Arabidopsis thaliana: one gene and its partners. The protein of the gene in region 2 purifies or fractionates together with the protein of the main gene of each other region. This does not show direct contact. Each region holds a gene or a part of one and is shown on either strand. Other genes may lie near its edges.

Evidence for each region.
Region 1: the proteins of MAC3B (region 2) and FIB1 fractionate together in Arabidopsis thaliana (co-fractionation; one large-scale study listed by BioGRID). This does not show direct contact.
Region 3: the proteins of MAC3B (region 2) and AT5G52490 fractionate together in Arabidopsis thaliana (co-fractionation; one large-scale study listed by BioGRID). This does not show direct contact.

The regions. Positions count from the first base shown.
Region 1 is NC_003076.8:21,292,331-21,296,085, reverse strand, and holds the start of FIB1 (fibrillarin 1), read right to left. Parts: upstream 1,940-3,755; 5' UTR 1,797-1,939; coding exon 1,778-1,796; intron 1,529-1,777; coding exon 1,221-1,528; intron 1,139-1,220; coding exon 1,043-1,138; intron 947-1,042; coding exon 869-946; intron 772-868; coding exon 595-771; intron 351-594; exon of another isoform or gene 277-350; intron 1-276. Other genes in the region: EDA41 (FBD, F-box and Leucine Rich Repeat domains containing protein), read left to right, coding at 2,328-2,537, 2,630-3,070, 3,165-3,303, 3,392-3,711. UniProt on the Arabidopsis thaliana protein: S-adenosyl-L-methionine-dependent methyltransferase that has the ability to methylate both RNAs and proteins. Involved in pre-rRNA processing.
Region 2 is NC_003071.7:14,129,191-14,132,945, forward strand, and holds the start of MAC3B (MOS4-associated complex 3B), read right to left. Parts: upstream 2,035-3,755; 5' UTR 1,811-2,034; coding exon 1,798-1,810; intron 1,703-1,797; coding exon 1,617-1,702; intron 1,370-1,616; coding exon 1,298-1,369; intron 1,212-1,297; coding exon 1,149-1,211; intron 811-1,148; coding exon 724-810; intron 575-723; coding exon 433-574; intron 344-432; coding exon 222-343; intron 1-221. UniProt on the Arabidopsis thaliana protein: Probable ubiquitin-protein ligase which is mainly involved pre-mRNA splicing and DNA repair. Component of the MAC complex that probably regulates defense responses through transcriptional control and thereby is essential for plant innate immunity.
Region 3 is NC_003076.8:21,297,219-21,300,864, reverse strand, and holds AT5G52490 (Fibrillarin family protein), read right to left. Parts: upstream 2,009-3,646; coding exon 1,990-2,008; intron 1,754-1,989; coding exon 1,380-1,753; intron 1,298-1,379; coding exon 1,220-1,297; intron 1,128-1,219; coding exon 882-1,127; intron 788-881; coding exon 626-787; downstream 1-625. Other genes in the region: AT5G52480 (RNI-like superfamily protein), read left to right, coding at 3,103-3,251, 3,371-3,646. UniProt on the Arabidopsis thaliana protein: S-adenosyl-L-methionine-dependent methyltransferase that has the ability to methylate both RNAs and proteins. Involved in pre-rRNA processing.

The DNA of each region.
Region 1 (3,755 bases), on a different chromosome or scaffold from region 2:
ATTAACATAAACATAGAAACATTTATGGAATCATTGCAGATTTCTTGGAGCAATCTCTGCTAGCTCAGCAATATTGCTACAACAATTGAGTCTCCAAGTTTAGTAATAAAGTAAAACTTCTAAATGACTTGAAAATGCAATTGTTGAAAACCAGAAGAAACCGAAAAGACTTCTTCCAAATCGATAAGATATACCAAATGAAGACAAATAAAAACTTTGAGATTAAAACAGATTTGCATGTTCAAAGTAAAAAATTTTAGTAAAAAGATACAAAGTAGCATCAGAAGCTTGGAGTTTGCAACACCCATAAATGTTCTGAAGGGGAATCCAAGTAAAATCATCATCTGCCGATTTCATTGTACTGATTTTTTTAAAAGCAAAAGATGCAATGCAATAAAAAAAAACTTTGAAGATATAACTGTAAAATAAAAAGGCTTCAAACATTTCATAGTAAATGAAATGTCATCATATGCCGATTTCAATGAACTGATATTTTAAAAGCAAAAGATGCAATGCAATATGACGTAACCTTTGTGAATAAAACTGTAGAAAGGGTAACTTCAAACTTTCATAGTAAGAAATATAGAACCAAACCTGATCTGGCTGAGCAACATCAGAGAATATGACATCAACCATGCCCACGAGCATTCTGTACTTAGCCGGATGTCTAGCATCTTCAATGATTGGAATAACGTTAGTTCTCTTCTTGGCCATGTTCACCAAATCTCTACCACTTCTATGAGAAAACTCAACAGCATAAACACATCCCTCCTACAAATCATAAAGCAATAGAACAAAGATAAGTCTCAAACATAGGATAGAAATGGACCTACGGATAACTAAAATAATAATTTAGTGAAAGACTTACAGGGCCAACGAGGTCAGAAACATGAGAGACAGTGGTCCCAGAAGCAGCACCCAAGTAAAGAACTTTGGCACCAGGTTTCTACAAAAGTTTTAACAAAGAACCAATTCAAGCACATGTCTTTCAATACAAAAAAAGAAAACAGAGTCAATGTGGTATGTGTATAGATGGACTTACGATCCAAATGTTGTCGACACCACCAAGAATTGCAGCAGCTAACTTAGATCTAAACGGATTCCAAACTCTGTATTCAACCTTAGTTCCATCTTCATTCTGCAAAAGTGAAGTAGCTATAATATAAGAACAAAAACAAACTCAATTTAATTATAAAGAAAACAATCCTCAAACTTCATACCTGAACAGAGATTCTCTTCTCATTGTAAACAGCTTCACCAGGAACCAAATTCTTAGTGACAAGAGCATCTTCTTTACCCTTAGCAATAAACACTCCCGCATGTCTGTGAGGCTCAACAATCACTTTGCTTCCTCCTTTCATTCCTCCACGAGGTGGTCCTCCACGACCACGAGGCGCACCACGTCCTCTGCCGCGAGGCCCACTACGGCCTCTGTCACCACTACGGCCTCCTCCAAAGCTTCTTCCACCTCCAAAACCTCTTCCACCACCATCTCTTCCACCTCTGAATCCTCCACCACCACGTCCTCCTGATTATAACAATACCAACATACAGAAAATTAACTAAACGGAAGAACAGAGTGTTATTAAAAATCTCTACTTTTATCTTTGAACTTTATTGAAACAGTGAAGATACAAAAGGCTCATGAATTAAAACCCTAACTACCAATTCAAACTACAGAAACCGTAATGATACGAATTCAGATTTGATACGGACAGGGTTATACTCTAGAGGCAGACAGAACAAGAAAGACATAAACTTTAACTAAGGTTCTTACCTGTAACTGGGGGTCTCATATTTGCTTGTCTAAAAGTGAAGAACGAAAGACGAGAACCGAAAAAAAACGAGGGCAAAGGAGAGAGATGTGCGGTGGTGGCTGATTTTAGAGTCTCTGTGAGTTGGTTTATATATTAAGATTTTAGGGCTTTTAGGGTTTATGCTTTGGTAACATTTCTTGTATTTTATAAATAGGCCCTTCTATTATATATATCTTAACTACATTAGTCTACTACATTGGTAACGATGGGTCCAAACTCCAAAGTATGGAGTTGGGTTTGATCCGGATTGGGTCAAGATAATAATGGGCCGATTTTATTGGCCCAAAGTGGGTTTGTTTATGTCTCACGGAAAAGATAAGTTAGGGTTTTATTTTTGTGAGACAAGAAGAGTTAGTTATTCACTTATTCTCAATTTCTCATAGAGAAATTACGAATATATCTAAGGTTCTCGATCATCTAAAGTTTTTAGGGTTCGACTTGCTCCTCCTCGTCTCTGCTTACCTATATTTGAAATCTTTATCACAAACTCAGCTAGCTATTACATCACTAATGGCCGAACGTTGTCAAAGAATTGATGAAGAGGTTGTTGCTTCTAGAGACGAGATCAGTTCGTTGCCCGACGATTTGCTTATCCAGATTTTGTTGCTTGTACCGATCAAAGATGCAGTTGGGACAATGATATTGTCAAAACGATGGCGTTATGTCTGGACGTTGTTGCCTAAACTCGAGTACAGTGATCCTGGTGATGAATGCGAAAGCGTGTGGAAGTTTCTTGAAAAGTTATTGGAACTTCACAAGGCACCTTTTCTAGAAACTTTGTGCATCCAACTCGGTAAAAATTTTCTATTGAGGTAGATGTTGGGAAATTAGTTGCAAATGCAGTTGATCGCTTTGTGCGCAAGCTAGAGTTAGAGCTCCACTGGACGGCAGAGCCTACCAGCTTGCCTAAGAGTCTTTACACATGCAAAACACTTGTGGAATTGACTCTTTCGGACAAGATTATAGTGGATGTTCCTTCTTCGGTTTGCCTCCCGTCACTCAACATATTACGCCTTTTTTATGTGGTGTTCAAAGATGAAAATTCTCTAGAGAGGCTTATATCAAGTTGCTCAGTTCTTGCCCGATCGAAAGTGGGCCTCGCCATCAGTGATAACCGGGACTACCGTTTCGCGAAGGTGCATAAGCTTCGCCTTGAAAAGCCACATATCGACGTTGTATGTCATACTGATGACAAGTTTCTCAAAGCTATTTCCTTGGTCACGTATCTTGTGTTACCTTTGGAAGATCCAATGGTATCTATCCTTTTTATTATTATTGTTTTTTTTCTTCTTGGCTGTTAGGTTTGATCACATTGATTTATATTGGCTTTTGATTTAGTCATTGAAGGCTCTGGATTTTCGTGGCTTTACCTTCACTCGACTTGGAAAATTAGTGATATGTCCACATGGCCATCTCTGGTTGGATATAATTCCACTAATTCTCAACAACTCTCCTAAACTAAGATTTCTTGCTATCACTTCTGTAAGTAACAAGTAACAACGCAATCTCCTTGTTGTATAAACTGATTCTTTGATTCCACCTCATAGATTTTTATGTACTTGCATCCAGGTAAGTGGATATCGACCCGGAAATCTCCCATTGTCATGGTACCAACCAAGGTACTGTTCCCAGATGCTTGTCGGCTCATTTAGATGAGGAGTTTGTGTGGCATGGATATAGAGGAAACGAAGAAGAGACACAGCTCATAAGATACATTTTTGCTAATGCAAAGTGTTTAAAGAAAGTGACAGTCACATCTATATGGGAACATTTTCAATCTTCAATCTTGAAGAGAGAGATATCAACCTTCCATCTTGAAGAGAGAGAGGTGATAGAAACGGTCTTAAAGTCTATGCCTAGAGTTTCAACAACGTCTACGCTTGTGTTTAAATGAAGAATGTATATTCTCTTACCATTTGGTGCAAAACCACATCTATA
Region 2 (3,755 bases):
ACAGCAGGAACCAATACAAAAAAAATCACAAGACTAGGCAGGAGGGCAACATTTTTTTAGTTAAGTTTCAAACCGAATACTAGGATCTAAATAGATATAGTGAGTATAAATCACATGCCTCTACAAACAAGAAAAAATACATAAACGTAGCAAGTCGTCAGGTCTTGCCTTCTAACATTCAAATGCATATTCAAAGATAGATACGAGTCTATGTGCAGTACCTGTCGCTTTTTTCGCTTCTGGGAAAGAGCAGCATTACAATCAGTCAATTCCGTAATAATTTCAGCTGAAATTCCAGGACACAATTTCTTTGCATCAGGACCCAGTTCCTCGTCAACGGCAGCTATTATACAACAAAAGAGTATAGTGACATGTTACAAGAGGAAAAAATAACTAGCCAATATATTTTGAGTAAAAAGTGTACAATCATACCTCGTTTACCATTACTCAGAGCAGCATTAGCTGTCACAGCTTCAGGGGCCGCAGGTATATGTCTCTCAACCTCGGCCAGTAATTGGCGTGCTTCGTCTCTTTCTTTTTTAAGTCTAGCAATCACACGACAAGCAGAATCATGCTGCAAACAGAAGGTAAAACAGTCCCATCAGTAGACTAAACACACTAAAAGATGAAATGAGTGAGGAAAATAAATCTAGGGTGCATAAAACAAATTTATTGACCATGGCACCTCATAAACTGGTGACAGAAACACACAGCCAAAATTACCTGATACAAGGCATGACTTAGCTCTTGCCTTGCAGTATGTAGTTGTTGCTCCAGTGCAAAATTTGATAGCATCAAACCGTCCCATTCCTAAAAAATGCAAAGCAGCTAAACTTCTCACGCAATTACTTCGAATAATTCATCCCAAAAAAATGAACAATTTATGTTGATTAGCACTCAGAAAAGGAGCAGGTGATCCGCGTAATAATGTTACTAAAGAGAAGAGGCCAATGTGTTCAGTTAAACGAATCTTGTATACATTTAAGAAACAACCTTGGAAAATTTATTTTAAGTCAATCAACCAAACTCTACATGACCAATAACATAAAACATTGTGACATTTCTTAGTGAACTTCCCATTAAGAAAACAAGCATAAATCCAAGAGAAAAGGTAGGAACAAATTTGCAAAAGAACAATTAAAGCTTACATTCTGGAACGTTCCGAGCAATCCAGGGATACTAGCTGTATGCAATGTTTTCGGCTTTATGATCTACACAATTGACAATTACATTAAAAAATCTCAAACAAATATCGTCAACAGTACTTTGCATCAAATAGTTAAAGAGATTACACTACCTCCCCAGTTTTGATGGGAACAATGTCATCAATGGTAAGTGGTTCGCCAGTAACCGGGCACTTCCCATAATCCTACAGAGGAAAATAATTTAGAAGAAATCATTCATTTCCAAGTGGCGTGATAATCTAAAAGAGCTCTCACTGGAGATCGGATCTCATTGGTGCCCAAAAGAATTTCTCGATAATTTCACAGTGCTACAAGAATCATCCGAAGTAAACCAAACAACATCACTCAAATTACGAGAAATCCTTCCAGTGAGAACAAAAAAAACAAGACGGTAAAAGTACTTGGCAGTGCTTAATTCAGCTCAAAGCTTACCGATATATGTCTTTCGATTAGTCGTCTCTCGAAGAGTAATCCTGACTTCGTCGAAACCACTGGCTCCACGGGAACTTCTCCTGAAACTGAAAGAACACAGTGCCGCCACCAACATCAACCATAAGAAAACCCTAAATCGGCATATTGAGAAAAAATAGAGAGAGACGACTGAAAGCTTTACTTGCACAGTTCATCGTAGGAAGAACGAGTGATACGACGAAGTACGAGAACTCAGGTCGATGTAGAACTTCCTGTGAGTGGGGCGGAGCAAGGGTTTTATCTTCTCCGGTCCGGCGCTACAAAGCAAAAACGCGGAAGCCGGGAAATGGTTGAAGAGAGAGACGACGATTAACACTCTCACTTGATATATTAGGGATTCAATTTAATTGGGCCTTTAACGATCACCTTCTTATATTTGGGCTTTTAAATCGATCCAACCATTAGAATTTGAAATTGACGACGTTTTATATTAGTTTTAAAATCTGTTTTAACTCATGTTGAACTAAAATTGGGCATTCAGTAATTTTGGTTGATTCATGTACATTTACTCATTAGATTATAAAACAAACCCATTGTTTTGTTACAGATTTTTTTTTGTTATATGTTGTTGCGACTATGTTTTAATCTAAAGAACGAGCACAAATATCGAATGAGACCGAGGTAGGTTTGTTCTTTGCATCTTAATCGCCTATCTTATACCCATTACCCACCAACACTCCATACTCACCAACAATCAAATAACAATTAACAACATATCCTCGATCACAACAAACAAAATCAACCGTTCAAGAGATCCTAAAAATATGTTCTAAGATGAAAGAATAAGGGATATATGTTTGTACATTTCATTGACAATTAGAGATATGGTTTATCTGTTGGTATATCGTTATGGATTCACGTTGCAAATGCGACCTCCACGGGTTCGATATACAAATTATATACCTAAGGTCAAAATCAATGGTATTTTATTTTTAATGTCTAAAGATAGGACGATGAGGGTACCATCCTAAGCACAATAGCTGTGTCCTTTCTATTTGCATAAAAGTTATATTCTTAGGATCCAAAGATGAAAGCGAACTCTCATACAAATACAATGCTCCAAGAAAAAAAGAAAAAAGAAAAAAAAAACAATGCTCCAAGAAAAAGATATTTATGAAGAAAAAATTATTTTTCATATTAAACCTAGATTGAAGAACGAGCTAATGACGCATATGTATAGTTCATATACGCATGACATTTTGTTTTGTTTTCAACCCTAAATAATACGTACGTATAACGTTTGAGATTATGTAATTAATATTGGTGAATCGTAATTATATATAGATAATTAATGGTTGATTATATATTACAGATGCACATGCATATATAAATTTTCTTCATTTTAGGTATTGGTTTTATATCTTGAAATTAAAGTGGTGGTCGTTTTCTATTTGGATAATGCGTGATGCATATATTGCATTTCAGACTTTATATGAAGATGGTCATATCTTCAAAAGTATCAATTCATCAAATCAGCTTTGATCTTAAGCTGTTTTACTTTTATTTTAATTTCCTTTCGTTAAATTTTAATCTGTAAACAATTTATTGCAATTCTCGTAATCCCAAATTCTGAACTTCTACACCCAGATAATCCTTATAATATGTGTCTTAATCGCTATTATGCACGTGTGTAGTGTAGTTTAAGCTCATACACAATTTTGTGTTCAAAAAAAAAACCTCATATAAAATTTAGTTTGTGCAGACGACTTGAAAGTGAAGTAATAATATTTTTGGACATAGAATAACTAGATAGACTCTTGACAATGATTTTCAAATGGTAGATAGACTTTTGTGACCAAAATAAGATACTGAAAGGCGATGTTGATGTCTCATGATTAGAACAAATAAAAAGAAGAGAACTATATTTTCCATGTAATGAAATAAGTGAAATACAAAAAACACTTAAGATCTACTATAGTAACCAAAAACGCTTTCAAAACCATTAAAATAATATTTTATTTTTATCGGCAACACAAGTACAAATGTAAATCGTGGGCTTAAACAAAAAGTGAATCCGTGTTTACCTATTTGAAGACTATAAATGTGAAATAAACACTCGTAAGTTATAGTTTGATGGATAACACGTACGACTCGTACTTT
Region 3 (3,646 bases), on a different chromosome or scaffold from region 2:
TTTTCCCTTTAATACATGACCTGATGACCAATTTCAAATTTACTCTTAAATTTTCAAGGATGAAGTTCATTACGAAAGTTTAATCTATTAGAAGGCAGAACTGAAAATAGCAAATAGTGCAAAAATTTTATTCTTTGGAACATATTTGAATAATGTGATTATTTTCAGCTAATTATCGTCTTCTCTTTGTCATAAACACAAAACAATGTATTTATCAATTATGTCTAAGGAAACATAAATTGATGAACAAGCAGAGTTTCACTTTCTGTCTACAAATTTGAAATTACACTTCCACAAAATCATATTATCGATAACAAACTTTTAAAATCACATTGAAAATCTCAAATCACAATGAATGATTCTTCAATGTAACGTTGTGTTAGTTCCACGTTCGATAAAACAAACCAAAATATAAATACTAGAATTCAACTCAAAATGTATGTGTATTCTACCTTTTGTTTTTGCAAAACTCAACTTCTTAAAACTCATACTAGTTAGAAGACAAATCACAGTGAGAATCAGAGAAAAATAATAATTTTAAAGCCTCATGAATGTGTATGAATTTTAACAATCACAAACTAAGTAAAGAGTATCAGCTTCCTAATTAGATAGCAGTATCAGCTTTTTACTTCCTAGGCAAGCGATATCCACCAAAAACACAAGCATGCTTTTCCTCACAAGAGTCAAGATGCAATATCTCTGTTGGTCTCAACTCTTCCATTTGTAACTTCTCCACTTCCATCTGATACACAGTTTCTGCTGCAATTGTTGAGTCTATAGAATTCGCCTGAAACAAGTAACTTAGAGTTAACCAAACAATGCACACTAAAAAGAGAATGATTTTGATTTGAATCAATGGTCAAAAAAGTTTTGTTACAAACCTTTATAGAGATCATAAAGTGCCCTCCAGATTTGAGGAAATAAGAAGCATTGAGACTTAATATGTTAGCTTGCTCAGGGTGATTAACATCAGAGAATATGATATCAACCATTCCCACAAGCATTCTATATTTAGCAGGATGTCTAGCATCTTCAATGATTGGTATAACATTAGTTCTCTTCTCCGCCATGTTCATCAAAACTTTACCACAAATATCAGAATGCTCAACAGCGTAAACACATCCCTCCTACCAATCAGAAAAGCTAGATATAAGTAACATAGAGAGAAAACACTCACTCAATCTTAAAAGTTAGGGTTTAAGGTTTAGTGTTCACTTACTGGACCAACAATGTCAGAGACATGAGACACGGTGTATCCAGAAGAAGCACCAAGGTACAGAACTTTAACACCAGGTTTCTACAATTTCAAGAAACAAGTATTCATTAGTTTCGGTAACAGAAGAATAAAAGAGATTGTTACTTTAAGTTATGGGACTTACGATCCAAATGTTATCAACACCAGTGGTAATAGCATCAGCTAACTTAGATCTATGAGGGTTCCAAACTCTGTATTCAACAGTAGATCGGTCTTCGTTCTGAACAAAGATTCTCTTCTCATTGTAAATGATTTCACCAGGAACTAAGTTCTTGGTTACAAGAGCATCTGCTTTACTTTTGGCAACAAACACTCCTGCGTGCCTGTGTGGTGTCACTAACACTTTGCTTCCTCCCTTAATTCCACCGTCCGATTCACTTTTAACTCTTCCAGGCCCTCTTCCACGGCCACTTTCGCCGCCTCTTCCACTGCCTCTTACGGCACTTCCTTCACCGCCTCTGGCTAAACCTCTTCCACCTCTAACACCACCACCACGTCCTGAGCATAATCATACAGATAAAACCGAAATTAACTAATCAGAAGAGAGTATTATTAAATCTCCTATTAAACTTGGATTGAAGAAGTGAAGACTCAAAACAGTTTACGTAACAAGCAATTCAGGTAGATATATTGTGACAAAACGAATTTGGAGTTAACAACCCTCAACCCTATACTATAGGTCGAACAGAGAAATTAAACAAGTAGTAAAACAAAACGGCTGCTAGGGTTCTAACCTCTTTGGGGAGGTTTCATCTTTGCTATAGAGCGAGAGCGAAAGCAACAAAGAGAAGGTTGATGTTAATCGATGTTTGCAGCTTTCGTGTTTGGTTTTTTTATTTTTTAGTTTTTATCGAGCCCCTGCTAGGGTTTAAGAATGTTTATCTATTGGAATTTGGAGTTGGTATAGGAAAGCTGGAAAGGTTCCATTTATTTTTCCGATAAATATGGAAAAGTTTTTATTTATTACATTTAACAAATTCTGTTAAACAGTTTACTTCTTGTAGGAAGATTTCAGATCCTATCGAACTCTTTTTATCGAATCACCACCATCAGATTTCTTGTTATGCAAGGAATACATGATTTTGAAATACAAAAGGTCAGAATATTAGGAGCTTAAGGCCCAATAATTAATTCAGGTAATGGGCTTATTAGACATGAATTGTTTTCGTAAACTTAGTGCCATAAGGACTAGATTGTAAAATTTTGCATCTTATTGTTATAACTTTATATTGCAGATCAAGTAATCAGAGATGCCTTCTGACTTTAAAGTCCAAAACAATCATTAGTTTAAACAAAACAAGAAGAGGAAAAAAAATCACACGAAGTTGGACAAAAAACTCATAAAATTGATTTTTTTTTCATTAGTTAATAAACAATTAAGGCCTTGAATGATTGTAAATTCTAAAATGGTGTCTAGTTTGCATAAATAGATTTTTTTTTTTTGCTTTTCATTAATTAATAAAAAATTAAAAATTTAGATTTCTTAGCTTTTCAGGAAACTTTTTTATGCAAACTAGAAACCATTTTAGAATCTACTACCATTCAAGGCCTAAAACTAAAACCAAAAACTACTTAGAATCTACAAATAATCAAAGAAGGCCTAAAACTAAATGACTTTCTGATATATATATTTCACAGATTTGACATTTTGATCCTCATCAGAAATGGATCCGCTGTCTTCACTGATGAAAAACGAAGAGCCAAAAAACTGGGCGGATCTTCCGACGGATTTGATGTGTTTGATTCTGCTACGTCTTAGCGTGACTGAGATACTGGAGAACGCTCAGAAAGTGTGTAGATCGTGACGATATGTTTGTAAAGACCCATCCATATGGCGTAAAATCGACATGCGAATCTTGAGTTACAACAAACCAGTACTGGTGAACAATCCTGAGGCGATATGTCGTAACGCCGTTGATCGTAGCGAGGGTGGCTTGCTGGAGATCAACATTGGGGACTTCGGGAGTGATTCTCTCCTTACATACATCGCGGAGAGGTTCTCCTCTAATTCTAGTTTTGACTTTTGATTACTTTTCATGTAAGTCTTCAAGTGTCTGTTAAAAACAGATATCTCAAGATTATGATTTATAACTTTTTACACACCATTACTTGTAGGTCAAGTAATCTTAGAAGCCTTAGACTAATGTGCTCAGAAATAACAGACGATGGATTTGTTCAAGCAGTTGTGAAACTTCCAATGCTTGAAGAGCTTGAGGTTTCAGGAATATCATTGTCAGGAGAGTCTATGAAACTTGCAGGGCTGTCTTGTCCAAATCTGAAGACATTGATGCTAAACCGCCTCTTTTACTTAAGTTCGGATGATGATGATCATGATGCCATAGCAATTGCAGAAAGCATGCCTAAACTACGCCATCTCCAGCTTTGTGGGAA